4 linked regions of the Oreochromis niloticus genome follow. The protein of the gene in region 4 purifies or fractionates together with the protein of the main gene of each other region. This does not show direct contact. Links are inferred from orthologs where the notes say so. Each region holds a gene or a part of one and is shown on either strand. Other genes may lie near its edges. The genes, in order: strap, gemin2, gemin4 and ddx20.

Evidence for each region.
Region 1: the proteins of ddx20 (region 4) and strap purify together in Homo sapiens (affinity purification with mass spectrometry; 3 studies listed by BioGRID and IntAct, counting the BioPlex papers as one, with this or other methods). This does not show direct contact. The link is inferred for Oreochromis niloticus from reciprocal best matches to the Homo sapiens genes DDX20 and STRAP.
Region 2: the proteins of ddx20 (region 4) and gemin2 purify together in Homo sapiens (affinity purification with mass spectrometry; 6 studies listed by BioGRID and IntAct, counting the BioPlex papers as one, with this or other methods). This does not show direct contact. The link is inferred for Oreochromis niloticus from reciprocal best matches to the Homo sapiens genes DDX20 and GEMIN2.
Region 3: the proteins of ddx20 (region 4) and gemin4 purify together in Homo sapiens (co-immunoprecipitation; 7 studies listed by BioGRID and IntAct, counting the BioPlex papers as one, with this or other methods). This does not show direct contact. The link is inferred for Oreochromis niloticus from reciprocal best matches to the Homo sapiens genes DDX20 and GEMIN4.

Annotation. Positions count from the first base shown.
Region 1 is NC_031980.2:31,843,027-31,850,126, forward strand, and holds the start of strap (serine-threonine kinase receptor-associated protein), read right to left. Parts: upstream 3,014-7,100; 5' UTR 2,876-3,013; intron 2,180-2,875; exon of another isoform or gene 2,021-2,179; intron 1,887-2,020; 5' UTR 1,805-1,886; coding exon 1,693-1,804; intron 647-1,692; coding exon 511-646; intron 1-510. Other genes in the region: protein bicaudal D homolog 1, read left to right, coding at 3,261-3,479. UniProt on the Homo sapiens protein: The SMN complex catalyzes the assembly of small nuclear ribonucleoproteins (snRNPs), the building blocks of the spliceosome, and thereby plays an important role in the splicing of cellular pre-mRNAs.
Region 2 is NC_031983.2:25,158,467-25,165,616, reverse strand, and holds the start of gemin2 (gem-associated protein 2), read right to left. Parts: upstream 3,004-7,150; 5' UTR 2,848-3,003; coding exon 2,723-2,847; intron 2,572-2,722; coding exon 2,487-2,571; intron 1,836-2,486; coding exon 1,746-1,835; intron 1,599-1,745; coding exon 1,539-1,598; intron 1,391-1,538; coding exon 1,274-1,390; intron 878-1,273; coding exon 833-877; intron 739-832; coding exon 670-738; intron 431-669; coding exon 320-430; intron 158-319; coding exon 99-157; intron 1-98. Other genes in the region: mia2 (cTAGE family member 5), read left to right, coding at 3,114-3,140, 3,465-3,570, 3,661-3,794, 4,257-4,343, 4,470-7,150. UniProt on the Homo sapiens protein: The SMN complex catalyzes the assembly of small nuclear ribonucleoproteins (snRNPs), the building blocks of the spliceosome, and thereby plays an important role in the splicing of cellular pre-mRNAs.
Region 3 is NC_031979.2:1,528,710-1,536,717, reverse strand, and holds the start of gemin4 (gem-associated protein 4), read left to right. Parts: upstream 1-5,008; 5' UTR 5,009-5,160; coding exon 5,161-5,170; intron 5,171-5,797; coding exon 5,798-7,786; intron 7,787-8,008. UniProt on the Homo sapiens protein: The SMN complex catalyzes the assembly of small nuclear ribonucleoproteins (snRNPs), the building blocks of the spliceosome, and thereby plays an important role in the splicing of cellular pre-mRNAs.
Region 4 is NC_031984.2:17,471,890-17,479,223, reverse strand, and holds the start of ddx20 (putative ATP-dependent RNA helicase DDX20), read right to left. Parts: upstream 3,006-7,334; 5' UTR 2,986-3,005; coding exon 2,790-2,985; intron 236-2,789; coding exon 141-235; intron 1-140. Other genes in the region: parapinopsina (parapinopsin a), read left to right, coding at 4,826-5,156, 5,932-6,022, 6,106-6,343, 6,435-6,677, 6,796-6,936.

The sequences.
Region 1 (7,100 bases), on a different chromosome or scaffold from region 4:
CACTAGCTAAAAGTCTTAATGTTGAATAGCAGAATTGTCCTTGCTTTGCTGGAACAGAGGGATAAATAAGAATGAAATAATAGGAGCAGCAGGATATTCTATTGGCCACAGAGTTCAGGTCAGGATCACACTAATAAAAATGGCTTTACTTTATTCAGTGTAAAGCTTTTCCTTAGAAGGATGCTGGGAAAGCAAGGGTTACCATGGTGACCATGTCTATCACAAAGGCATGTAGGCTACGTCACTGATATATGCAAGCTAGAAAGGTCCCTGGAGCCTGTACTAGTGCTCACATCTAAGTGATCGATTATCAATACCATAGCATGAAGCAAAACAGCCGTTTAAGGTTATCTTGAAATCAAATGAGACCAGATCACACATGAACTGAGGTTTCAGATTACATACAACAATACAACACTGCCAATGGATGCATGACAGATGATCCACAGAGAGGAGCACTGAGGATCACTGCTTCTTTCAGGCTAGTTTAGTCGGAGTGTGTGAACTCACGCTGTGAAGTCGGCAGCAGCAGTCGCTGCTTTGGTGGCGTCTGTGTTTAGAGTGGCTCCCCAGACAGCGCCCTTGTGACCCAGAAACGTTCCTATCCAGTCCCCTGTGTCTCCCTGGCGCAACATGGGCTTGCCATCTGATGGAGAGAAGCAGAGAGGATGTGAGATTCATAGTGTAATGGCAGGCGACAGTAAGTATAAGGGTGTCTGCTAGGTCACAGACACCCTTGGTGTCTGCTAGGTCCTGCTGACTGTGTGACAAGCAGGGGTCACTGACTTCTAGGTTGACTTTTCATTGTTGCTAGGTAAAATTGGTTGTAAAGAGTTGGTACTGCATTGAAAACCTCCTTGCAGTTGCTTTTTTTGCTAGCAGACTGCCACGTCACCGTTTGTATGGAACATGCAGACTTGTCTGCAAGAACTTGCCAATTAGTTGCTAAATGGTAGTGAAAGTGAAGAGTGCAGTGCAAACAAAATGCTCCCTTCAAAGCAAAAGCTGCATCTTTTGCAATGTGTTGGTTTAACCCTGAAACGATTAGGCACAACCATGACACTGAAGGCACACCTTCGCTGTTCGTAAAACGTTTGCCTTCAGTTGTAACAGCTTCACTACTGCTCACTTCAATACTGATTAGTTGGCGAGTCAGCATCCTCCATGCAAGCTATTAATAAATGACTCTTTCAAAAAAAAAAAAAGACAAAGAAAAAAAGAACTGAACTTAACCTAGGAAATCCAGGAATAGGAACACTGCTTGCTTTCAAACGCCATCTTTCTCAGGGCAGGAATACCATCTGACAGCCCAGAGGCGATCATTATCTGATCATGGTCTTTAGGACATGATCAGATAATGATAAGCAGGATTTACTCTTTTCTATACTCTTTCAACAAAGTTATACAATTCGAGATCAAACTTTAGGAGGAAGGTAAACCATCAGTAGTTAAGCTAGCCGCATGTGCCTCTCTCTCTCTCTCTCTTAGGCTCACACACATACGCACCCCCGCGCGCACACAGACACACTTAATGACACCAGAAAACAATACAAAGACACAAAGTCCCTCAATAGAAGAACATGTTTTATAAAGGGCTCATTTTAAAGCCCAACCCGCAACAGACCACGTCCAGCAGTAACATCAGATTCTCACAGCCTACTTTATGTTCATAGTCCTGCCAACACCTCTCACCCTTGCAGGCGCTGATGAGGAAGTATCCATAAGGAGTAATTCCACTGAAGGCCAGGTCCACCACAGGCCGGGTGTGACCGGAGCAGGTGAGGGGAGTCTGTCTCATCGCCATGGTCCTCCGGCCGGCCGGGAGACGGTTCGCACTGACAGAGGAGACGGTTGGATGCTAGCGGCTAGCTAGCAAGCTAGGAAAACTAGCGGAGTAGAAGGAAAACAAGATATCAAGCTAGCTTTGTAGGTTATGTTCCGTTGGATAGCAGTTAGCTGCTGCTGCTGCTCACACTGTGAATCAGAAAGAATAAACTGTAGGTCTGTCGAACAGCTCTACCTTCCAGCGAAGGAACGGCTACCGTGCTAATAGCTACAACATTGCAACTAACTAGCAACGTGTGACACGGCCAAACAACCATAGAGACGATGATGTTGCCGGTGTGTTACGCCAGTTCCGCTAATCACGATGATAACACTTCCGATGCCTTTCATAGTAAAAGTGTCATCGCTTCTAACGGACATTGATACGTTTTAAATTTTGAATGAACAAATATTGAATAAAGGCTTCTTCAGCAGTGCTGAGAGAAATTTTGATATCGATCCGATATCAAGTAAAAACGGCCAGTAATGTCCATACCAATACCAATACCTTTTACCCTATAAAGGAGGCTTATGTGGGGTAGCCTATGCCTATGTGTCATTATTTATTAGATGTATAATTATTAAATGCCGCTTCTATAGTTTAAATGTTCTATAAATATCTATCGTTATTATCAATACCTGGGTTGATCTACCCACCACTATTCTTCATGAGCTACCCGTCAGCTCGTTTTCGTTTTCAGACTTTAACTCAGACTTTTCATCGTGTAAAAGACACAGTTAAACGTTATGACATGGAAGGCATCAAAGCTACTTTGTAAACAGGACATATACTAATATTTCAAACAGAGATTGATTGTTTATTTGTATTGCTTATGTATGTAATATTATCACAGCACATACTGTCAGTGTTACTTGGATGAGCGCAGTTCAAGAGCCCGTGAAGGCTTTGTAAAAGACGTGCAGCTGTATGCGAATAGTTTGTAGTTTTTAGTGTTGAGGTACCGGCAGATCTCACACCAGGAATGAAACTATTAAAACTCTTTGTTTCGTTCGCCTCCATAAAACAGAAAGAGTGTATTTATACTCTTACCTCCAGAGGGCGCTGCGTGCAGGGGATGTATTACTGTAAACGCTCAGTGTGCAGCAGGATGACAGGGAGGGAGAGAGGAAGGTGCCTTGCTTCACGGCTGCGGGCAGAGATGGCGTCCTGCTGCCGGTGAATAAGCAGAAAACCGAAGCAGAGGGAGGAGACCGGGTAAGAGAGGACGCATCTTTCCGAGCATCGCATGGCAGAGGATACTCCCGCTGCGATGGCAGCACCGCTGTGAAAGCCGTGGATGCTCGCTGGTGCTGTTTGAGTTGCAGGACGTTGGGACTCCCCCAGGGGAGGCGGTGGGGCTTGTTTTCTCCCTCTGGCAGGTCTCTCTGTTCGTCCGCCGCAGGGAGGAGAGGGCAGAGGGAGGGACAGACGAGCGATGGCTGCCGGAGGAGCAGGATGCGGGGATACGGTAGAGGAATATCGGGCCGAGGTGGAGCGCCTGACCCGGGAGCTGGCGGAGGCCAACCGCGAGAAGATCCGGGCGGCGGAGTGCGGACTGGCGGTTCTGGAGGAGAACCAGAGCCTGAAGCAGCAGTACGCCGACCTGGAGGCCGAGCAGGAGGCGCTAAGGCTGGAGCTGGAGCAGCTGCAGGAGGTGGGGTCAGCAGGGGTATGACTCCTTACTCGAAAGCCATGCACTGGTCTGATTAGCGTGAGGCGTTTCTGACAGCACCTTCTCACCTGCACCCGCTGGAGGATGTTATGAGCTCACAGGGTGGTTCATTAAAAAGCCTGTCTGTGCACACTTCACCTGTAGTCACACCTGCTGGACATGCCAGCTCTTTAGCCAATATGGCTTCAGTTAGCTTGTCAAAGATTAAAGACGGTACTTTAATACAGGCTGGTTGCTTTATGCTCTTTATTTAATCTGTTTTTAAATCAAGTCATTATATTTCACACACTACAAACTTTCTGACCAAAATACTAAATTCCCCTCATACACCCACCATTTCTTTATATCATGCTTCCAAGTTTTCCGAGTCTGGTTTTCTTGTCATTTTTAACTGGTTTCAGTAGTTCTTAGCTTTCTCATGGGCTTTTTTGGACAATGGCAGCTTTTTCCACTCATCTTCAGTCCAGTCCTTGTAACTGACGATTTTCAGAGGAATGGTTTTTGTTTTTAAATCCATTTAACACTGACCTATGAATCATTCGAGCATAAAAAGGCACCCCGTGACTACACTTAACAGGCAACTTGGCAAAGAACCAGTTTAAATTGTATCTTTAGGAACTTGTGTTGCAGGCTGCTGGAAACAAAACACATTATTATTACATGGGCTGGTACTTTTATGGTGCTGTTGTTGAGCACTCACAGGACTTCCTGCTCCAAGTCTCATTTACCCAATCCCATACATACGCATTCAGTGCTTTAATCTATGCCTAAGTATTTTTTAACATTCACTCACACTCAAATTCCAACAGATGCATCAGGAGCAGCTCAGGATTCAGTACACTGCCCAAGGCTACTTGTGGGCACAAGTAGGACTAGAGGAGTCAGGAGTCAATCCACTGACCCACTCCACCGCCTGAGCCACACCTGCCCATTTCTTTAATTGCATCTATGGAAAATATCTTAAAGAAATTGGAAAAACTCCATCAAAAACAATAATTTTTCAGTATCGCAACGATCCCAAATGCACTGCCACTGCACTAAAAGTATACATGGATAGAAAAGCGCACAGTAGAATACAATCAGTCATGGACAGGCTGCCCCAGAACCCGGACATCAACATTACCTAAAATCTTTAGCATAACTGAGGGCAGCGCAGAAAGCCACTAAATACAATACAACAACGCTGGCACCTCATAAACCTGTTTGCGTTTGTATCCACGTAATGAACATGAGATTAATATTCGCTTTCCTTCAATCTTAGGGTAAATCAGAGAGGTCTACATATTAAAGTGTCCTTGGGCAGGATACCAACTCCCCAAATTACCAGTCGGTCACTGTCTGAGTGTCAAAGATGAAGCATTTATGGCAAAGAATAAAGGGCTATATGAATGTGTGAATGTGGCTTTTTGTAGAAAAGCACTTGGAGTGGTCAGTAAGACTAGAAGAGCTTTATATAAATCTCAGTCCACATACCAGATATAGTAGCAGTGTCCAGGCTGGGTGAAGTTTCCCCTTTTAGAGTTAAATAACGGTGCAGGCTACACTTCTGGTTGTCCCCTTCTTTTTAAGTTTCAGCTTTGCAACCATACTCCCCACGGACTTTGGTTTCCTTCATGCTAGTTGGCAGGTGTGCAGTGGTTAGCACTGTTGCCTCCTGGCAAGAACAACCCCAATTTGACCCTACCATCTTTGCGGAGTGTGGTGTGGTGGAATTTCCATGTGTTTGTCCAAAGACATGTAATTAATGGGGTTAGGTTAACTGGTGATTAGGTGTTCACTCCTAATCGACTGGTTTCTTTCTTTCTGTGCTAACCCTACATCAAGCTGGTGGCCTGTACAGGGTGTACGCCGCCTCTCGTGTGATGGTAGCTGGGATAGGCGCCCTGTGACCCTGATAAGGATAAGCAGAAGAGAATGGATGGGCACTGGCCATTTATCGACATGAAACAGCACATTCTGCAAGGCTTAGCTGGGTCATACCATAGAAATGTTGGTAGAGTTTTAAAGAACCATTGGGGAATTTCACCATGTGTAGTTTGTTTGTCTTTCAAGACTTTAAAGTACTCAGCTTTACTACTCAATATATTTTATAGAATTATGTAATTCTGCATGGGGTTTTTATCCACACTGGAGCTTAATGGTGATAATGATTCACCTCCATTGAGTCTCAGAGATAAATTTGGGATCGTGTAATTTTTCTGACTTACATATATTGGAGAGCTACTGTATGCTAACATTAATCCACCAGTTTGTGAGAATGTGTATATGTGTCCATGTGACTCCATTAATTTAGAGAATATTTTGTTTTCCAAATGGAATTTCTTAAATTCAAGTGACCAGGCTACATCTCCACTGCCTCTGTTTCTCTTCTGTCTTCTTTTTAAAAATACATTCAGGACAGAGATGACCTACAGGAGCAGGACTGAATCCATGATTCATTTTTGTGTTTTTTACAGTTTGTCTTGATGCATGCTCAATCATCTAGCATGCATCAAGAAATTTTAACCCACTTTGGCAAGGACTGCCTAAATGTGTACGTCAGTATGAGCAAACAGCACGTAAGATGGCTGATTACAGGAACCACATGAGATTCAGCCTCAGATGCAGACAGAACAGAATCAACTTTTTGTGATATTGTACAGTTGTTTTCATTGCTATGAACAGCAACAACTAAGACTAAGTTAGCATGTACTAATAGCAGCACAAGTTACCGTTGTGTTTGTTGTCTTTAATTCTCATGTAATTTTAACTTTTTGGTGCTAATTTTGTTTCCTATGAACATGATTGAATGAATCCACTCCTAAGTGTTAATTCAGTCAATCCCTCACACATTTTAAAGTTTGTGTTAAGTGGCCCAGAACACAGGAAATCATCCTGGACCAGGGCATCACTGAGCTTCTGGATAGTCTGAGGTGCAACCTGGCAGTGTCAGATGCAGTGAAATATGACGTCCCTTAGGTGTTCTAGCAGATTTGGGTCAGGCAAGCATGGGGGCCAGTCAATGTCATAAGGCTCTGTCTCCCATTTCACTGTTAAATGTTCAAGGAACCACAAGGAAGCCAGCAGTCTTAGAGCGGGGTGATACGGTACTATGAGATCTGTGAGGAGATTTGAGATTTAACAGGGAGTCAGTGAAAAGAAGCCAATTTGGGGGAAACATGCTCTCTCTTTCTAGTCCATATCAATATTTTGGATCAACTGAAGGTTTCTCAACAAGTTTTTAGGGCAGCCCATTAATAATGAATTACAGTAGTCCAGCCTAGGGAGACTGGGTGTCATCTGCACAGGAGTGAAAATGTATGCCATGACGTCTGATGATACTGCCTAAGGGAAGCATGTATAATATAAACAGAACTGGTCCTAGCACTGAACCCTGTGGAACTCCATAATTAACCTTAGTGTGGGAAGTGTGAAGTGTATCCATTTACATGAACAAATTGGAGTCTATTAGATAGATATGATACAAACCACTGCCGTGCAGTACCTGTAATACCTACAGCGTGCTCTAATTGCTCTAAGTACAGTACAGTATTGAACGCTGCACTGAGGTCTAGCAGGACAAACACAGAGATGAGTCCACTGTCAGAGGCCATAAGAAGATCA
Region 2 (7,150 bases), on a different chromosome or scaffold from region 4:
ACAATTTAGACACTGGTGGTTTAAAAAAAAAAAAAAAAAACATTTAAGGGGCTCTCTTTACACAGAGTTCCATATAACAAAAATACAGAGAACCTTACCTGGCAACAAGACAGATGAGCAGGTTGAGGGCGGGCAGTTTATCATCTTCCTGGCTGTCCTGTGAAGTCATGCAAGCAGGGAAAAGACTATCAGAGTAAATAAAATCCCATCAAATCTCAACAAAGAACTAGAAAAACATGGCATGCTGTGGCCGTTTCAAGCATGGAGTGATAGCACATAGAGATAGTGCTTTACAGGAGATGGTAGGATTGTGGCCTACCAACGTGCTGCGGAGCTGGGCGCATCTCCGGGCGAGCTGTCGGATGGATGAGTGAGCTTCAGGCAACAGAGGCTTCTCCAAGCAGGCCAATAAAGCATACAACCAGCGTCCCTGAAACAAGAAGACAGACTGCAAACTCAAGTATTTCACAATAACTGCAGCCAATAAACCATCACCTTCTATATCTGAAACATAAGACAGAGGCTGAAGAAATGTTTGGTTTCATGATATCTGTGAGGAATGCATTCATAGTCAGCTCATATCTATCTTGAATGCAGCACAGGATCACTATAAATGCGTGTGGAGTTCGGAACCAGCATAAAAATGTGTCGCTAATACATCAGACTCACCAACTGTGGAACAAATTCTCGTTCCTCGAACCAGCCGATGAGGATTTCCAACACCATCAGCACTGTGGACTGTGGACAGGTGGGAAAACACAAACACACACATCGTCTAATCAGGCTTCGACTGGTTTAGAACATCTTGAATGTCTACAGAGGGATCGTTTACCTGGTTTAGTCTGCTGATGATGCTTAGGAAGGGAGGGAACCCCATCTGAACAGACAGAGAAATGCTGAGGTAAATAGAGCAGGACATATTTTGGGTCTGAAAAGTAATGCAGATGCAGAAGTGCTTTCACTCTAAATAAAAACACTTCCATTTACATAGAAATCTGTGGAAAAATGGCCCACAACTCCCTGATGACTCAGTCACTAGTTTCAGCTCACACTGAATACAAAATGAAGTGATTTTTTTTAAATTATTGGCATTATTAGGAAGATTTTCAATCACAGGTTGTTACTTGTAAGTGTGTGGTGTCAGGTCCAGTTTCAAAACCTCATTATCCAATGGGTGATAGACATGACCGACAGCTTCTTTACTGACAAAAAATCTTACAGATTGTATTCATGATGACACAAAACATTGAGATATAGCCATTACATATATAACCTTGCTATAGTCCAGTGCTGGCTCCTGTTCTGCATCTGTGTGGGTGGATGAAGTGCCCAGATAGACCTTCTCTCCTAAACAAAACCTCTTCCAACCCTCCTCATCCGTTAGCTTTGGCTGTAACACACAAATACGCGCATACATAAAATTTTAACATAAATTCTGTTTTCAAGTTTGCCTCTTGGAGAAAGACAGAGGGATTTATTAGGTTATTAGAGGAAAGCATTGCATGCTGAAGCATCAAATTTACACATTATCACATCACCATCAGCACGTTGTCATCTAGAGTCTGGCTGGTCCAGTGTTTCCTGTGCCTTGTGATACTCTAAAGGGAAAAAAATGTTGTAAAAGTTCATAAATTGTCAAATATCCACTTGTACAGATTTGTGCGGATTTGGACCTACAAAAAGTTTTAGTGAATTCTGTTAGGCTGTGCTATTGTATAATATCATAACAGCAAAAAGGCTCTTACCTGTCTGATTTCAGAGAAATTGCTGACTTGCTGTTGTTGCCATCTTAGACTTGGGGAGAAACCCACTGGAGCAGCATGACACCCTGCCACCTAAAAACCAGAAAACAACCCCACAAAAAATGTAACTGAGAAATAATCAGAACAGGTGATGCATTATTGAAATGTATTTTGTTTTATTTTGTATAGCATCTTCTTTTCTTTGCTAAATGAACTTCTGTATACTGTTTACATGATCAACGTAAAAATTGAACACAGCACAACATTTTTCAGAGCCTATCATTCATTTCTAACTGTGCAATGAAAACTATGAAACGATACTGAGAAAGATTCATACAGGTGTGCTCAGAAGTTTCCATCCACTCATCGTGGGTATGAATGTTTTGACTCTTTGTGGATTACAGAAAATCAAAAGTAAATTAAAACTTGTGCACCCAATTCTTGTTTTTCAAGGTTATTGAAGTGAATGCTTTAAAATCATTCCATCCTGAAAAAAAAAAAGAAAAATTCAAAGAAATCATTTAAAAGCCCAACATTTTTAGGCCATTCACATGCATGATGAGTGGGACTGACTGCTCACATCAAGGTAAAAATACTTGAAATACTTTGTTTTGCAGACACCACACAGTAACAAAGCTAATGAACCCTCTCACTATCAAGGTCAGGGGTTTGTAATTTTCTTTAATTTGTCATACACCTGGAGCATCAACTGGTCTCAATACATTTGCCTCTCAGTTTACTTACAGATACATTCACTGTTTGCTTCTTCCTTAGTTTTTTTGGGTCAATCTGAGCGACCACCACCTCTGGGCACAATGAAGCCTCCAGCCTGTCCAAAAGGAAAAAAGTTCATTGAAGCAGCACGACCACCTCAACTAATATATTAACACACCAAAGAGACAACAGGCAAAGAGAATCTAAGAGTTAATTACACGCGAGTATTAATAAGAGGTGTGTTCTTTAGGTTGGGATGCACTTACTGGACCTGTCGGAGGTACTCCTGGGGGTTTCTCGGCGGTCCGCTTAGGTCCAGGTCCTCACCGGTACCGGATCCACACTCCATGGGCAGCAGCCTCGGCATTAACTCCTCTACGTCTGACTTCATTGTGACTGAATGTGTAAGCTCGGCTAGCTTTTAGCTAAATGAAGCAGTCAAGCTCAATTAAAAATACGGACTCGCAACGGACCAAAACACTAACCTTTTACCAAGAGTAAACACAACCAGACTAGACCGCCATCTCTCTCGCAAAACAAACGCACAGTGATGACGTCGTCTTTGTGCGCGCGTTTGCCTTGTTGCCACAGCAACAGACCAGCTGTCAGTCCTGGAGAAAGGTCGAAAATAACAGAATGGGTCTGTTTTTAGTTGCCATGGCGTTTACCCGGAACCTCGTTTATGTGTGTACGCATTAAAATCTCAATTAAATGTCAATTAAAGCAATTTTCCATTAAAATTAAGTCTTGTAACGAAATAGAAACCTTTGACCAGCGAACTGATAATATTTGGTATTGCAAGCAGGCCTGAGATGTTAATGATTATCCCCATACTGGCCTTATATCTTATCTCAGCTGTTTCATTTAGTATTGAGTCTTCACACAGCAGCAGCTCAGAGGCAATGTTCACTTGCCAGCACAACGGGCCTGAGTTATTTCCACCCCACTATGGACATTTACTACTAATAGCCTCCAGTTAAAAGTCAGATAATCATGGCTATTTTTCAGGTCTCTAGGTTCCTGTGGTCACTGGGTGCAGTTTTAGTGATTTTACCCCACTTAAATCTCGGATTATTGTCTGACTACAAGATCTGCGGAGACTCTGAGTGTCAAAGTAAGTTCAAAATCTCCTGATAGCTCCTTAAATTAATGACGATAATGATGGTCACCTCACCCCTGTGTTCTATTGCTGTGGTGTGTGCAGGGCTCCTAAGCAGAGTGCAGGCCATAAGGGACCACCGTGGTAAGGACTGTCGTTTCCTGAGCTTCAGGCAAGGAGACACAATCTTTGTTTACCACAAATTGACTGGAAAGAGGAATGACCTGTGGGCAGGCAGTGTATGTGTCATATTTCAATCTTTTTTTCCTTTCTGTGCTTCCCTAAAGCTTCATTCATGCCAGGTGCTCACTTAGAGACAGACAGAAAGAAAACCTAATCCCTTGACCCCTGCACTGTAATACTGTGAGGTTTGGGGCAGTTTGCTGCCAGGGTGTTTCCCTAGGATGAAAGGGCAACCTCAAATCAATCAGTACAAACTTGTGTGATGACCTTTATCCTTTGATTGATGGGATTGGTCTTTTTCAGAATAACAGTGCCCCAATTCTCTGTGCAAAGGAAGAATGAATTATTTGATTATTATAAAAGATTATGTTTGCAGTCATCATCAATGCAGAAACACCAAATGACAGAGCATCTTTTTAAAGAATAATCTGTTACGACAAATGTTGAGATTTCTGTGTTTCTTCAAGGTAGAAAGAAGAAAAATGCTGACAGCTCCTTTGTTTCCTTTTTTATTTCAGATTGACAAAGAGTTTGGATATTTTCCAAAGGACACAGTGCAAGAAGAGGAGGTTTATACTACTGTGGAGAAAGTAGTGGAAACACAGGTAATTTCATCATTCACATGTAAACAAACTTTAAGTATTAAAAAGTATTGTAATTATTAGTATTATTTCTATTTTGTCTTCCTTGTGTCCTTCCGTAAGAATTACAATTTTGCCCTTTTTCTGCAGAAATCTGATTTCTTCTGCATGAATGAGTTTGGCTCCACTTATCTGGATATGGATGATGATGATGATGACGATGATGATTATATTGATCAGAAAATCCAAATCCAGGAGCCAGAAACCACCCAAATTACCCAAAGCACTGATGACACGAAAGCAGAAAGCCACTTAACAACCTCAGACTCCCCAGTTTCTGCACAGGAAGAAGAAGAACAAGAAGAGGATCAGAATAAAAATGTTGGTGGTTCCGGAGCTGGGTTTCAAGAGGAGACACATGAGATTCCTGTGGTTCCTAATCAACAAGGTGGGTCTCCCTCCTCTTCCTGGCTTGGTTCTTCAGTGACAGGATGGTTAGGTCTGGGTAAAGAGGACCAACCTGACAGTGTGGCTGAAGGGGAGATAGAAGATAAGAGGAAAGAAACTCAGGCTGAAACTTCGCTCACGTCCTCTGTGACAGGTTGGCTGGGCTTCGGAGGAAATGGAAAACCTGACAATGGCAAAGAAAGTGTGAAATTTAAAGAAGAAACTGCTGAATCGTTAACTTCAACAATGACTGGGTGGCTCAGCTTTGGAGGTGGAAGCAAAAGTGAGACAGAAGAGGAACAAGAAGCAGATGAAGACAAAGAACCCACAGAGAAATTCAGGAGCAGGAGGATGTCCTTGGACCTTGAAGGCAGCCAGTTGCAGGAAGAGGAGAAGAAAGAGATGGGGACTTTAGGTTGGCTAGGGAATGGGCTGTCAAGCACGCTGGGGTTTGGTTTGACCAGTCAGGAGTCAGGACAGGAGAAGGAGAAGGAGGAGAAGGTGCAGGCTAATTCTTGGTTAAACATGGAGATTGGAGGTATTCTAGGTTTCAGGAAAGATAAAGTTGGAGATGATGAAAACAAAGAAAGTGAATCTAAGGAGGTAGAAATAGTCACAACTTTAGAGCAACCAACAGGATCGCAGAATGTGGATCACAGTGAACCAGAGGAGGAAATTATTAAGACAAGCAATAATTCAAAGGAGGTGGAAGAACTGTCAGAAGACCAAAATACCCCTACAGAACCCCTTAATGGTCACAGTGTTGATAGCAACACAGATACTTCATACAGTGGGATAAACAGTGATTTCCATGAAGAGGCTGAACCCACAGTTGATCACAAAGATATTTCTCCTGATAGGAAGTTTGAAGAGGAATCTCAGGCTTTAGCAGAATCACTCTCCAGTAAAGATGATGATGACAATATAGAAAAAAGCAAAATTAATGAGGACAGATCTGCAGAAAGGGAAGGTGAAGACGCTGAACATATGGATAACAGCAGGGAGCCAGGAGAGGAAGAAAGAAAAACTCTGAGTGCTATCAGTCAGGATTCTATAACACCATCTGAAAGCATTTTGGGCCCTGATCACATTTCAGTGGATTTAAAGTCAAAGTCTGTGCTGGTCAAGGAAGATGAAAAAGACCAGATGGAGAACAAGAAATCAGAAAGTGTGGAGGAGGAAGGGGCAGAAATCACAAATCAAACTGATAACACAGAAGAAGAAACCACAGAATTGGCTCTTAAAATTGCCAGGGGTGACGATAATAAAGGAGAAGTCAGTAATGAGGATACAGATTTATCTGGAACTCAGACTGAGGAGCTGAACGGTGATGTAGAAGACAGTAGCAAAGATAGCCAGCCTCACTTACCGTCATCTATGGAGAAAAACAATCCAGTTCCAGCTGAGAATGAAAGTTTTACTCCTTATAGTGCTGAAACAAATGATGACAATTCAGATACAATAGCTCTTTTTGATAATAACACAGAAGCAGAGACAGTTCATGGGGAGTTAAAGCAGGAGGGAGAAACTCTGAGCTCACAGGAATTGGATTCACAGCATAACCCTGTCAGAAGCACTCAAACTATCCCAAAGGATGACAGAGGAACAAGTGGACTAGCCACAGATCCCTCTGTGTCTCCAGTGATGGAGCATATTGACAATGAAAGTGACAGTGATGCAGGCAAGCTAAAGGAAACTGTTGAAGACAACATAAACGAGTCCCAGCAGGTTAAAATAGAGATAGAGGCATCAGGCACTGAAGAAGATTTAAATGAAAATGACCTGAAGTCAGCGATAAGCTCTGAATTAGAGGCTGAAAAAGAGGAGGAGTCAAAGGATGGGGGGAATCAAGGGGTGATGAAGGTGGAGGATAACGAGGAACTGGAGGATTTAAAGGAGATAAAAGAGCGAAAGGAAGATGAGAAGGAGAGTAATGAGGCAGAAGTGGAGAGCATGCAGGGAGAGGTGGAAGACCTAAAGGAGGCTAACAAACATTTGAATACAGAGGAGGAAAAACACCCCAAGGTGGAGGAGTTAATGGAAGAAGGGGAACTGGTGGGTCTAGAGGGAAAAGAGAAGAAAGAAGGTGAAGGGAAAATGGTGAAAGAGCAAAAGGAAGATGAGGAAGAAAAGGAGACTAATGAGGCAGAAGTGGAGAGTATGCAGGGGGAGATGGGAGAGCTAAAGGAGGATAGAAAACAGCTGCAGATGGAAGAGTTACCAGAGAAGGAAAAAGAGGACAAGGTGGAGAAGTTACAGAGGGAAGAAGAATTGGAGGGTGTACAGGAAAAAGAGAAGAAAGATGAAGAGGGAAAAACAGTGCAGTCTTCTTATTATGAGGCAAAGATCCTGAGCACCATGAACACAGAAGAGACAGAAACCTA
Region 3 (8,008 bases), on a different chromosome or scaffold from region 4:
CAACTGCAAATCATCCATTCTGTTTATTTATCTATATTAATAATTATTTTCTGTAAATAATATAATTTTCTCTGATATATGTTATTTATATTATTTTCTTTACATTTTACACACAACTTTGCAACTTTTTTTAAATTGGGGTTGAACATGCTTTATATGTCAGTTGCTCCCAACAGCAAGCGCGTGTTCCTCAGGTGTGATTTAGCTGCAAGTCTGTATCACTCACCTGAGTGCAGGTAGCGCCGCTTCACATACAACAGCAGGATCACAACAGAGCCCACAACGAGGTACAAAATCCAGTTGGCTGGCTCTGAAACAGAACACACATGAAGCTCTGCTCCTCCCAGGCTAGCTCCTAGTACTATACTGACACTCACCTTCCACAATCAGAGTGAAGCTCTTTGTGATGGGCACTTTCAGGGACTGATGGGAGACGCTGCATGTGAACTTTTTCCCAGAGTCCCTGAGCGCAGCCTGGAGGTAGAAAACACCTGACAGCGAGAAGGTCATGTCCCTATTTTCTTTGTGGCTGAACAGAACACTATGGTTCAGTGGCTTGGGATGTGGAGTGCCTGGATCCTCCTCGTACCAAATTATCTCCACATCCGAGGGTAGTAGCCATTTGCCTCACACTTAACCATCAAGTCCTTGCCCTCCTGCAATAACAGGGTGGTTCCAACATTGAGGGAGACATGGGGAGACTCTGAGGAAAGGAGAGAGAAAAATAAATAGTAATTTCAATACCTAACAGCAGACAATTATTATAGTAACTGGCCTGTTTTATTTAATTCATTTATTTTAATTTAATATTCTTTCAGGTCAAAACTGGTGACATTTAAAAGTTAAAGTTTAGATTTGGTCTGAGTTCCAGAATTATAGGAAGTCAAATTTAGTAAGATGCATTTCAGGTTACACACTTAACAGAATAATAAAAAAAATATATATATATAAAATCTCCCACCCAGGCTCCACTGAGCATGCATTTTTATCACATACAGTAAGTTCAGCACGGACACAAACAGGCACATCAAGCGTTAGATCTGGATAAAGAGAAACATAAACCTGATCATCACTTACACCAATGTATTTTGGTGTAAGTGATGGAAAAACTGAAACTGCAAGTGAATTTCATTAACATCAAACATTGTAAAGATTATAGAACATATAAGTTTTTTGCAACTTTCTATCGATCCGCCAAGGAGGTTCTGTTTTCGGTCTCGTTTATGTGTCAATCTGTCTATAAACATGAACGCTTGAAAAGTTTTAAATGAATTATGATGAACCTTGGAACTGGTGTAGTGGAGTGTAGTGGAGTAACAATCCAACAAATAGATTTAACAGTTCATTAAAATTTGCCTTCCATCCATCAATGTTAGTTGAAAATAGATTCAGAAAGCAAAAAAACAACCTAATAACTAAGAAACTGAGATTCTTAAAAGTGTGCTATATATTGACAGCATATAAAAAGTACCATATAAAGATTTCAAATATCATGTCACATTTGACCTCTTACCTTTCCTTCAAGGTCAATAGATTGATCTGAAGGTCAAAGTAATAAAATGCTATAAAGAGCTATTTAAAAATAGGTTTCTTACTCTCATTGTTTGTACTGACAACATATACAGTACCAGTCAAAGGTTCACAGTTTCTTATGGCAAGCACAATAATCAATCATTACTTTAACAACTGGAGATCAGTCAGTCTGGAAAACTGCTAAAATTTTGAATTTGTCCCCAAGTGCAGTCCCAAAAACCATCAAGCACTACGATGAAACTGGCTCACATGAGGACCGCCCCACGAAAGAAAGACCAAGAGTCACCTCTTCTGCTAAGGATAAATTCATCTGAGTCACCAGCCTCAGAAATCACGAGCTAACAGCACCTCAGATTAGAGCCCAGATAAATGCCACACAGTAGCAGACACATCTCTACATCAGCTGTTCAGTGGAGAGTGTCCGAATCAGGCCTTTGTGGTCAAATAGCTGCTAAGAAAGCACTACTAAGGAAAAGCAACAAGCAAAAGAGATTTGTTTGGGTCAAGAAACACAAGAAATGAACATTAGACCAGTGGAAATCTGTGTTTTGGTCTGATGAGTCCAAATCTGAGATGTTTGGTTCCACCCACCGTCTATTTGTGTGACACAGAAAAGGTGAACAGGTCTCTACATGCATGGTTCCCACTGTGAAGCATGGAGGAGGTGGTGTGATGGTTAGGGGGTGCTTTGCTGGTGTCACTGTTGGGGACTTATTCAAAATGGAAGGCACACTGAACCAGCATGGCTATCACAGCATCCTGTAGCAACATGCCATCCCATCCGGTTTGCTATTAGTTGGACCGTCATTTATTTTTCAAATTAAATGAGAAGGTGTGTCCAAACTTTTGACTGGTAGTATAGACATATAGGGAATGGTCCAAACCTATGTACCTTGAATCTGCAGATATATATCCACCTTGGCGAACAGTGGATTCACGGACACTGAACAAATGTAGGTCCCTTCACTGATCATCGTGGTGGAGGCGAGGATGTAGGAGGCATCTCCAGCCGCAAGGGCATGTAGTCCGACACCGCTCCCCTTGGTCTGTCCTGTGCGCCTGTTGTAACTGAAGAGCTCAGTCCTCTCACCAGGGCGGTGCCTATGCCACTCTACGGTGACCTTTGCACCCTTGTGGTCGACATCAAACTGGCAGTGGAGCTTTTGCTGGAACTTCAGGCGTGCTTTAACTGAGGGAGTCTGTGTTTTGATGACCATGGCGACTGCAGAAACAGATGTGACAAACAACACAAGTGTCCTTTACTCAAATAGGTGACAACCACTTCCTGTATCTATGACATGACAATTATTTGGCCATCCACCATTCCAAGTCAATATAACTATAACTGTCTCTCTCTATTTCTACTCTAATCTCCGAGACACAAACACAGTTTCTTTCAGCACTCTGTCCTTAAATGTCTGCTACTGCAACAGGCAGGCAATTAAATAAAACCCCTAGGAGATAGTCTGTGGGGCTCAACAAAAACACACCATCCTCACATGTGAGTTTACCTGCGGTGGTGAGTACCTCTTTGTCAGCAATGACAGACCAGTTGTGGTAGTCTGGCTGCCCTGGGGGAGGCTGGTCAGAGGGGTGTCTGAGGGAGCCAGCGACTGCGAAGCGGCCCCTGCTGTGTCTGAGGATGCAGGTAAACCAGTGGTTGTACTCCCGGGCACCGAGGACAGGCCAGCGAATGTAAGTGCCCTCTGTGCTGTATCTGTGCAGCTCACACTTCAGCTGCTCTGCCTCCACCCCCTCCACATACTGCAGCAGATCCAACTTTGATCCTAGAAGATGATAAAATAAACACTAACACATTGTTGTTGTTTTTTCAGCCTTCTTCTCATGCAGGCTGCAGTAACTCACTGGTGACCAGGAAAGTGATGGCGTTTGGGTTAACAGGAGCATCTCCTTTCTGACCAAACTGAAGTATAGCCTCTCTGGGGATGACCCGGGTTTCAGTGTGGTTGTCCTTGTTCAAATACAAACGCTCATCAATGAAGTAACAAGGCAGCCACTGGATCTGATGGACACTCCACACACCTGAATGACACGAATACTTCAGTCAGACAGCATAGCCGTTGGAATTCATGCGGTAGACTAGAATATCTATAGTCACTTTTGACCTAACACGCACAAGCTGACCTAAGCTAATCTGTGACAACGTGTTGCACTATAACTCACCTGCACTTAGATACAAGTAAAAAAGTATCCTCAAGATTAAAACCGTCATTCTTTCCCGGTGCCCTCCACTGTCGGACTCCTTGTTGTCTGATGTCCACACAAAGTTTCTCTTGATACTTTCACTTTCATTTCAAAGGAAAAAGAAAAAAGGAGTGCGATTTCTGGCGTGATGAGCAGCTCGAAAACCAAACCTTTAAAATAAAAACCCTTAATCATAATCAAAAAAGTTAATAAAATCCAGAATATATGCTAGAAAAAAAAATAAATAAATAAAAAATCAGGATACAACGTCCTAGTTCTTTTTACAGCGTTCCTGTTTTCATGTTAGACGTAACATTATTGTAGCTGGAGCCTATCCCAGCTGCCACGTGGCCAGAGGTCTGTCTGGTAGGAAGACTGTGGTAGGTGCATATTTTACTTTATCCATTACCACACAAACGGACTCTAAACTGTGAGCGGTACCCGGTGTACTTGGAGTCATGGGGCAAATGTACTCCATACTCAGGATTACTGAAATGTGACTATGTGAACCACCGCACCACACAGTTTAATAAATAGTTCACAGCAGTTCATGAGGAGTCAACAGCTTGCAACAGGTCCTTTTGCTTTTGACTTTATATAAAACTCGTAGTACTGACTTTGCCCTGAGGTGTCGCTGTGAGCGCATGACGACAGCAGCCTTACTAGTCTTTCCGACACCAGAGCTGATGGACGAGAACCATGTCACTTCCTGTTAATCTCGTTTTACAGAAATTCACTATTTAGTTCACCTGAAAGTCCTGAAATAATAGCAGTGAATGTAGCCAAAGCACTCAAATAATTATTTCTCCATGCCCGATTTTAGGTCTAACAATCTACATCATACGTTATTTAGATATTGGGAGCGTAGTTAAACCACAACAAAACCTATCATGCATATGAGAACTGCTTGTGGTGGTCGAAGGTGATTACTGTCTGGAAGTTACTGCCAGAAGTTTTCCGCGGCTGTTTGTTTCATGCCTGAAAGCAAAGTAGTCGATGCATTATGCGGCTCTTGGTGCTGTTTGTATTACACCGAAATGTTGGAATCCCATAAAAAATGTGAAAATGGAGCTATATCTATTAACTATTAAGGAAAATATTTAAAAAAAAACAACAACAACAACAATAACCAAAATTGACATTCTGGGGCTACAGAGCCATAGAACTCTATTCATTCTGCCATATGCTTAGAGCGCCCTCTATGAAACCGGAAATCCACAGAGTGGGAGTTCTTGATCATGAATTCTCTCTGGTTGTACACGCTGATGCTAACAGCGGAAGCGCTTTATACAAAGTTGGTGTCACTCTGATAGAAACCTTTGCTGGGAGGTAGTTTCGTGTTTGCTCTCTACTTCATTGGAACTAAAATTAGCAAACTAGCTTCTTAGCATCCAGGTCCACTCTGCAGCTTTGACACTAATAATGAACAAAGGTAACCGCTACACTTCTCACGTTCTCATACAGAAAACACGAGTCACAATTTCTCTTATGCTGTAGTAAATGTTGCGTGTGCTAAAAGAAAATAACAGCAAACCGTGATTTTTCGCCATAATCAAACCCCCCCCCCCAAAAAAAAAATTAAATAGTATCAGCTTTAGCAGTTTAAGAGGTAATGCTGTTCTCTAACCGCTCTGCTGCATGTGTGTGAGAATGACAGAACAGCGACATTTTATTCTATATATATTTATATAGCTTGTATTAATTCTGTGTGGAACTGAAAAATACACACTAATACCTTATTCTACAGAGTGTGGCTGTTCATATAAAAGATCACGATTTAAAATAATGAGATACAAGTAACCTCTCTGAGCTCAGGCTTCACACCATGTTCCTTCCACTGTCAACTTTAGATGAGCCAGAGTTGAACTTCAGCTTATCCCCAGTCAAAAGCCATTTTCAAAGTGGCATTTTTTGGTCTTAAGATCAAATGTGTTGTTTTTTGCGCATCTTTGCCATTTTAGGCTAATTTAAGGAGCTGAGAGGACAGTTAAAAATTAAAAAAAAAATCAATTTCCTCTGGCAAATATGAGTTTTGATGCCTTTTCTCTTGTTCTTTCAGATTCGACAGTACTTCAGGGAGCTTTCCTCCTGGCTGATAAGCTGTGTTCCCCCTCATGCCTGTCCACCATTCAGAAAGCAGACTGGAGCCGGGTGGGACATGTGATCCTGGAAGCACTCAAAGAAATCTGCAGACAGGATGAAGTCAGTGACTGTCCCAACCGAGCAGCCGAGAGCTGGAAGAAGAGGATGGTTTGTGTTGTGTGGCTGAAGCTGCTGTGCAGAGAGGCTGAGGAGAACGTTGAGTTGGCTTGGAGGGAGAACCCTTTCTTCTCTCTCCAGAACAGCCTCCCTAAGGTCAGCCGTGTCGTCCTGCTGGAGCTGGTGAAGTCAGCAGCAGCTGCGGGTGTTTTTGCCAGTTTCCTCCTGCGTCTTCCTCACGCTCAAATCTGTGCTGAGCTGGAAAGGCTGGTGGAACATGTGAGGAGCGATCCCGTAGGGGAAGACGATATCCGACTCCTTCTGGAGGTTTGGTGGGAGCTGTGGAAAGGCAGAGCGGAAGAGAAGGTTGGAGAAGAAGAGAGCATAGAGAAGATGTTTGCCAGCCAGCTTGCTCACCTCTCCTCTGAGTCCTCCAGTCTGTCCCCTCAGGCTGCAAAGAGGTTAAAGTTAGACACGCCAGATTCAGCAGATATTCTGCACATTCTCCTTCACGCGCTTAAAGGCATGAAATGTCACATATCCTCAGCTGACCTCTGCTTTCAGTCCTTATCCATTTCCCTCGATGCTCTTTACACAACCTTCCTGATAGACCAAAACGTGGTGCTTCCAGCTAAAGAGAAGTTGGACTGTTTGTGTAAAATCCTCCAAGCCAGAGAGGAGAACATGGAGAAGCTGAGTCCTGAAATGATTCAGGAAGCTCTGAAAGACTTGCGTGCTTCTCACACACCTTCTCAGTTTCAGCTGTGCCAGATGAAGCTGAGTGAAGCCCTGAAGATTATCACAGAGCTTGCACAGTTTTGGCAAAGCAGTGTTCTCAATCAATGTGACCACTCCAGTCCTAGTTACTCTGCTTTCCTGCTAGAACAAAGCATCCAGAGGGTCCTGGCTTCTCTAGAGGAAGCACCCGGAGCTGGGACTGACGACTTTGAAGGAGAGAATGATACACTCAGAGGTGTGCTGAAGTCACTGTCCCTCCCTGTAGCAGAGAGCAGCCCTGAAGTGAGCGCAGAGGTCGCTGCTGTCATTATCACCCATCACCTGGAAGACTCTGAGGACTTTGCAGTGTTGTTTGCCAGTGAGCCATCATGGGCAGAACGTGCGGATCGCTGGCTCGACTGCCTGGAAAAAAACCAGGGGGCCTTCCGGCAGCACGGTACCCTCATGAGCCTCGCCTCCACCCTAATGAGCAGACTCCATAGCAAGAGCGCTAACGTGAAGCAGTGCCACAAACTGCTGAAAATCGCTTCAGGTATTTTCTCCACACTCACATTAGAAGACCAGAACAAAGCGTTGGCTGCCATGCTGAGATTATCCAGCAGGGGGTTCTTCGAGTGCTCTGTACCTGCTGCTCTAGCTGACGGGTTTGAACAGGAGCTCAACATGGCCTTCAATTGCATCATTCAGGGGGCGGGCGGAGCTTCAGCGGGAGCTTCACAGGGCAACCTGACTACGGCAGCCTCTCTAGTTGCAAGAGTAGCCTTTCAGAACCCCGAAGCCACTTTGAGGTCCTGCTGTCATTCGGCTGTTTTTAACAAAGGAGCTTTCTCTCTAATGGCTAAGATCCTGGAACAGCTGCCAGGACTCAGAGACCAGAGGGGAAGAAGAAATGGAGGGAGAAAAAAGGTGGTGTGCAATTTACTTGGCAAGTGTTTACAGGACGTGATCCAGACCAAGTCACTGTCAGCAACTGAAAAAGAACAGTTCCTCAAGTTCCTGAGTCTGCTCATGGAGCCCGTCACTTCAGCTGAGGGAGAAGGAAAGAGGGAAAGCATTCTGTCACCTCAGGAAGTCGTGAACACCTTTGTCCTGCCTAACCTCTCAGCTACAGGTGAGTCTCACATGTTTATGTTTACCACAACCTACATTAGCTAATTTCTTAACATTTTACAGTTGTGATCAAAAGTTTAGAGCCACTCATCATGGATATGAATATCATGGCAAGTCTGGGCTTTTAACATTTTCAGGGTGGAATGATTGTACAGCATACATGTGTAATGACTTTGAAAAAAACAAAACAAGAATTGGATCCACAAGTTTTAATTTATTTTCA
Region 4 (7,334 bases):
TAAACTCAGCAGAAGGCCATCTGCTGGTCATGAAATGATTAAATAATAAAACTTCCCCTTTCCCTCTTCTGATGATGTTTTACTTTAACCGTCCGAGTGCAAACGTAGGTCATATCCTCATAATCAAATATTATACTGACCTGGGTTGAAGGATTCTCCAGGACCAGAGAGTCCAGGGCGATGGTGCAGAACACGCATGTCTTTCCTGTCCCAGACTTGGCCTGTACAATCAAATCTAAAAGGAGAGACTCAGTGAGCGATGCACAACAGGGCTGGCAAATGACAGTTTTGGCATCAGCAGTTAATTACCATGACTGGGTGAAGTATTGCTGCCTAATCCTCAGCATCAAATCAATTGTCTCCTACCATGGTTTAAATTAACAAGTGTTTACCTCAAGTACAATGAAATTAAGCACATTCTGCATCACCGCTGCAGCCGAGAGCTTTTCCAACACACAGGCAACCTCCAGGTGGAAAGCAACTATTCTGAATTTGTACCTCGTAAAGGCAGTAAAATGTTTAAAGGCAATAAACACATTTGATCCCAAAGAGTGATTCAGAATCACGATGAACAGTTGTGATATCTATGATAGTCAAAAGAAGGACTAAAGAAGTACTTTAGTAGTACTAATGTAGTTGTTTCGAGCTTTTCAAAATAAAATACTTTTTAATATCCTTTAAAACAAAAAGATTTGTTCTCATTTGACCATGGCTTTGAGGAAAGTTTACAACAAAAGTCAGTGTACAGTCTGAGTGTAGTACAGTTACAGTAGATAGACAATAACAACAGTAACAGACTTAACTAAATGAAATTATACGATAATATAACAAAGTTCACAAAATAGAAGAAACTCTAATATATAGCTCAATTATAAATATCCAGAATATTGCACAGATGAAATATATATTATTGACATAGAAGCTGAAAACATGTAATTTGATATTGTATAAAGAAATGTTTTAAGAAACTACATTAAAATGTAATACATGATTGAATTATTCAGAGTAAAAAAATATTTGGATTACAGCTGAAGTCTCGGGGCCATATTAAGCTCTTTTCTAAACTAATAATATAGAAGATCTCTGCAGTTAGGTCCATAAAGTTTATATTCTTTTTCCCTGTGTACACATCACAGTGGATTTGATGAAGATGTGACTTTCAGCTTAATTCAAGGGGTTCAACAAAAGTATTGCATTAAGTGTTCGGGAATCAGAGGCACCATCTATCAAAGAGAGTGGAGTTAATGTTACGAACTATGACTGTGAAATCACAGGGATGCATGGCTGCCTGTGAATCTGGGCCTTGAGTGTTTATTGATGATGTGATTGCTGGTAGCAGGATGTACCTTGAAGTGTAAAGGGGAATTCAGATTCATCCAAGTGCTGCAAAACTATGCAAATGGAAAATGACTCAGAGCATCCTGCAGAAGCAACCCGAGAGTTTCAGAGGGCAAAGAAAGTGGAAATTCTTCCTGAACAGTTGATGCAACTCTTTAGGGTCTGGGGTCTTACTGTTCATACTTTTGTCAAACCTCTGAATTAAAGCTGAAAGTTTTCCCTTCAAATACATTTTGACAACTTGATTTAAAATTCACAAAAAAGCATCAGTGTCCACTTACTAACAGACCTAACTCTAACACACCCAGCTATTGTACCAACAGATTTTTAGATCAGATACACGATGCTTTGTCTCTACTGCCATGATATCACATGTAATAACCTTTTTACATTATGTTCTTTTAATAAGTCCAAATGTCAGTTTTGCACTAGTGGCCAAAAGGACAGGGAAGTATTTTTATTAATTTACCTCAGGGACAGTTATGAGTTGTCCTACATGAAGGAAAGCTAAAGTCTTTCTGAGGAGCACGTTGTAAGGAGATGCTGCTGGTAGCTCATGGGAGGAAGTCAAATTAGATAAACTACCTTTTATCTTTTAGCTCTCATGTGTTTCTATTTCCAGATAATATTACCTCCCGACAAAGGTGTTCATGTGTCTGGATAAAACGGAAATAGGCAGGCAGATTGGTGCTGTATCGAAGTAATGTGCCGACTTTACTGGACCAGTGAGATGAAGAGTTAGCTGAACCGGGAAGCAAAGATTTGGATTTACCAGTCAAGCGTGAAGCAAGTCTGGGTTCAGCGTTTCACCCAAAGACACTTCACATGTAGCCTAGAGGAGCTGGGAATCGAACCGCCAACCTCCCAGTTAGTAGATGCTCTACCTGATTAACCACAGCCACCCAAGTTTTAGGTCCATAAATTTGCCCATAAGTGTGTTTTTTGATTGCAGTAATAATAATTATAACAATAGTTTTTCATTTCATATTTATGAGGAGATGCATAAGCGGACGATAATGAATGGATAGATAGATTTGAGGCATAATATATCACATCACATTAATCATTTGCGTCTAAATATGTATGACCAATATGCTTTGCAACAAAAAATTTAAATTAAAATACTTTAAAAAGTTGTAAAAAAAAAATAACATAAAATAATGATGATGATGATGATAATAATAATAACAATAATCATTTTTAACTATAGTGCCAGTCATGTATCTGAGCAGACATGCAAAATTATATATGATGGATAGATAACAGATTCTGATCCCTGATGTATGTAATGCACTAATGTAAGTTAGTGATTTGATTTCACGTGCATACATAAGGTATTTTGTTGCTCTTTTTATAAAATCAATTATAAGTTTTATACACTGAAAACTTTATTTTTCCTACCCCCAACACACACACATGTGAACCCTCCCGCAGTTTTGTTTTGCACCCACCGAGTCCGCAGCGGCCGAGCGGGATCGCCTTGAGCTGGATCGGAGACGGCTTCTGAAATCCCGCGGCGGACAGTCCGTCCAACACGGGCTGAGACAGCAGCAAGGAACCGAAGTCGATCCCCTCCGACAGAATCACGTCTTCGGTCCGCTTTCGCGCTTCGATATCGTGAGCTGCTTTCCTGACGGAGGTAGCCATGTTTGCTGTACTGTTTACTGCCGGTGACCCGGTTAAAAAGCAGAGACACAGCTGCGCTTTAGCGCCCTCTAGCGATGCGGAGGGGAATTAATTTCTCTGCGCAATCATCTGGGTGTGATTGGTCGATTACACACTTTTTGGCAATAAATCTTATATGGTTGGAAACCCTGTTTATTTCCCCCTAAGTGGTGCTAAATTTTTAAGGAAAATGCATTTGTGGGCTGAGCAGCAGAGTTGATTATGTGGGCTGTGTCCATGAAAAACTTGCAAAATCTTCTCTCCCAATGCCAAACAAAGTATTCTGCTATTGAATCTTGTTTGGTGCAGTTTATGGGACTGTATTTTTGAAGTTTGAAGATGCATATTAGCAATTTAATGGTTTATTCATTTGGTAGCATGTGGAAGAACCATCTGGTACCTCCTCCTCATGCTGGTCACCAGCTTGGTCACGCACTGCTGTGGGATGGTATCCCATTCTTTAAGCAGCATTTGTTGCAAGTCAGCCAATGTGTCAGTGTTGGTGACTCTGGCACAAACAGCACACCCAAGCTGACACCACAAGTGTTCGATGGGGTTGATGTCAGGACTGCAGGCAGGCCATTCTATCATCCTCACTCTTCAATTCTGAAGATAGTTTCTGATAAACCTCATTCTGTGAGTTTGAGCATTATCTTCTTGGAGGATAGAGTTCGGTCTCAGACAATGGAAATAATGGATTGCCACTGGTTGGAGAATTACATGTTGAGATTTCTTTGCATTAACAGTACAGGAGTATTTATTTATGGCAATAAGTCAATAACCCAAAAGTTCTTATTGATGGCCTTTAACAGCTCAGTGCAGGAAACTGTCTTTTGATGAGGTTATTAGTTACAGCCAATGTTAGTTAGTGTCTTAACTCTTAAAAAAGAGGAATTATTCATTGAGTTTTTTCAGCATGCCAAGAAATTGCAAATGTAATCACATATAGTTTTGGGGAGCAATATATTAGTGATTAGTAAAGTGCTTATGGATGGATCCATAGATCTGTTGGGCAGAAAATGTAAATGAGATCTTCAAGGTGAATTTAATTCAACAAATCACAATGTCATTTTTTTCTGTTATTGCACCTTTTCTTTTTTAGCTTTATGGATTCATTCATTCATTCATTAGGAGTTGTGTAGGTATTAAGGATGATTATAAACAGAGACACTGACACTGAGCTCATTCTCAAATAAGCCACGAGTTAACCAGTTTGTGTCATTAAGTGACTCAATCAGGCTAACGTCTCATTAGTTTTTAATGAGAGTACATAAAAAGGCAAGGACAGGTATCCATAAATTACCAGTTTATTCCATTATTGGCTACAAAATGTGTGACAAACCAGCAGGAATTCTGTAGACATATCGGTCGATCCTGTATGAACGTTTTGCATCATTACTCACGAGCAGCTGTAAATTGAGCAATCATGGAAAGTGCAGTCTTAGAGGCTATCAGACAGAATTATTCTCTCCACAATCCGGCTCGACGGATTTTGTTTTCTGAGAATTGCAAGTCATCTACGGCCTCCTCTCCTCTTACTGGGCTTATTTAGAGGGCCTCGCTTCGCTCTCAGAATATCAAGCACGCAGTATCTGTTGAACAGTTTTGTAGTTGTTCTTATTGCTACATTATTTATCAAATGATTAAAAAAAATGCTAAACACATACCTGAACTTGCTATTTTATTTGCCTTGCTGACAATGTGGCCATTTTAGAGTTAGATGTGTGGGATCTGACACTTTTTTGTTTGTTGTTTTTTACCAGGCATCACTGAGGTTTTTCATACTGTCACCAGATTCTTCTCCTGATCTTCACAGAGCAAAATGGAGAGTGCTGCCTTCCACAGAAACTCTTCATCATCTAACAGCTCAGCCAACACGGAGCTCTTGTCCCGGACTGGTTACACAATTCTGGCCGTTATCATGGGTGTGTTCTCTGTGGCAGGGATCATCCTCAATGTCGTGGTGATTGTGGTGACGGTGAAGCACAGACAGCTAAGGCAGCCACTCAGCTATGCCCTGGTTAACCTAGCTGTTTGTGACCTGGGCTGTGCTGTGTTTGGAGGCCTGCCCACCACAGTGACCAGCGCCATGGGATACTTCAACCTGGGACGTGTGGGCTGTGTGTTAGAAGCCTTTGCTGTTTCCTTTTTCGGTGAGTCTACATTTTCTTTTTCCTCACATAAATAAAAGAAGAAATACAATAAGGTATTCTAGTACAAGTAAAAGTACCTCAAGTAAAAGCATCTGAAGAGAATTTAATTATATTATGTCAGATTTGCAAAGCTGTATCTGAATAAACAATCAAAAAAACACAAGATCTGGAACAGTGTCCTTTGGACAGATAAGACTATATTTGAGATGTCTGGATCTATTGCAGAGAGGTGAAAACCAAATACAGCACATCGGCACAAACACCTCATACCAGCTGTTAAGCACGGTGGTTCAGAGGTGATGATTTGTGTTTGTTTTGCAGCTGTATACCAAAGTATTGTTGAGACAAATGTCAGTCTGACAGTTAAAGCTTGGCCACAATGTGGTCATGCCACAGATAAATGATCCCAAGCACAGCAGCAAATCTACAACAGAATGGCTGAAAAAAGAAAAGAGTCAAGGTGCTGTTGTGACCTGGTCAAAGTCCAGACCTTGCTTAGTATTTCAAATGCACGCAGTCCTGTGGAAACTTTCATTTTCTAATGACCGCTTTTGAACTTTTTGAGCTTAAAAAAGTTACTTAAAGTGAATTATTTAAGATATTTTGAAGGAACTGTTTTTGTTTGAAGTTACATTATGTACTATAGTCCATATATTTATAGTTAATGTCATTAAAATAAGATTAGCATTTCTTCCTTGAAATGTAGCACTCAACAGTGTGCACAAATGCAACACTTAGAACGCAAAAGTCATGAATTACTTTCTCTTTATTGCAGGTATAGCGAGTCTGTGCACAGTTGCAGTCATTTCTGTTGAACGTTACGTAGTGGTGTGTTATCCCATGGGTGCGGTCCTCTTCCAGACCAGGTACAGTAGTGACCATCAAGGTCTCACTTGGGAATGTTCCTTGTTGTACCAAGCATGTCAGACACCATCTCTGTTGTCCTCAGGCATGCAGTTGCTGGAGTGGTACTGTCCTGGGTGTGGTCATTTGTGTGGAGCACTCCACCTCTGTTTGGGTGGGGAACTTTTGAGTTGGAGGGGGTCAAAACCTCCTGTGCTCCTAAATGGCATAGCCGTGATGTTGGGGACATGTCCTACATGATAATATTCTTCTTCCTTTGCTTTGCCTTGCCCTTTTCTGTCGTCATGGTTTCTTACTCGCGGCTTTTATGGACTCTCCGCCAGGTGAGCAACAAAGAGGCTGCGCACACCTTATATTTTTGTTGATTGTATTGAAAACATAATGGAGTCCTTTGCCCTTGAATGTTTTTCCTAGGTGACCAAGCTGCAGGTATCTGAAACAGGAAGCACAAGTCGTGTAGAGGTGCAGGTGGCGCGCATGGTAGTGGTGATGGTGCTGGCCTTCCTAGTCACCTGGCTGCCATATGCCGCACTTGCACTTGCTGTCATGATAGACTCCAGTCTATATGTCGACCCTGTCATCGCTACCATTCCTGTGTACTTTGCAAAAAGCAGCACTGTCTACAACCCCATCATATACATTTTCATGAACAGACAGGTAAGCTGGTTTAAAGTACACTGAAATTCACACATACAAACAAACACAAAGAGGGATTCAGGCTCATGCTGTATGTTCATGACCAACCATGATCCTGTGTTTGTGTGTGTGTTTCCAGTTTCGAGGCTACACTGTTGCTGCGGTTCTGTGTGGATGGAACCCCTGGTCCTCCGAGCCGCAAACATCTGAGAACGAGACCACTGTTGCGTCTGTAATCAAGACCCCCAAGAAAATTGTGCCTAAAAAATCTTTGGAATAGAAATGTGTAGAAATTATTATTATTATCACTCCAGAGGCGCATCCTGATTATCAGAACAAAGTCAAGACAACTTCTGCAATGTACTGCAAGATGGTTTTCACAAACGTAAACAAAATATCAGAGAGTAAAAATGATGCAATGAGGAAGAAGGTTGCACAAATCTATGTATTAAGGCATAAAACATAACAGTAATAAAAGCAGCAGTAATAAAAAAAAAAAAGATTTCCCTGTTCAGGCAGGCTTCTTTTCCTTTTATGTATTCAGACAACAACACAACATCTTTCTTGTCCTCTGTCATTGATATTGTAGATGGTGTCATTGCTTTTTATCTCTTTTAAAGAATAAAAATACAGTTACATTAATCAAGAACTATTGAGACTGCACAACTCACAGTTTGT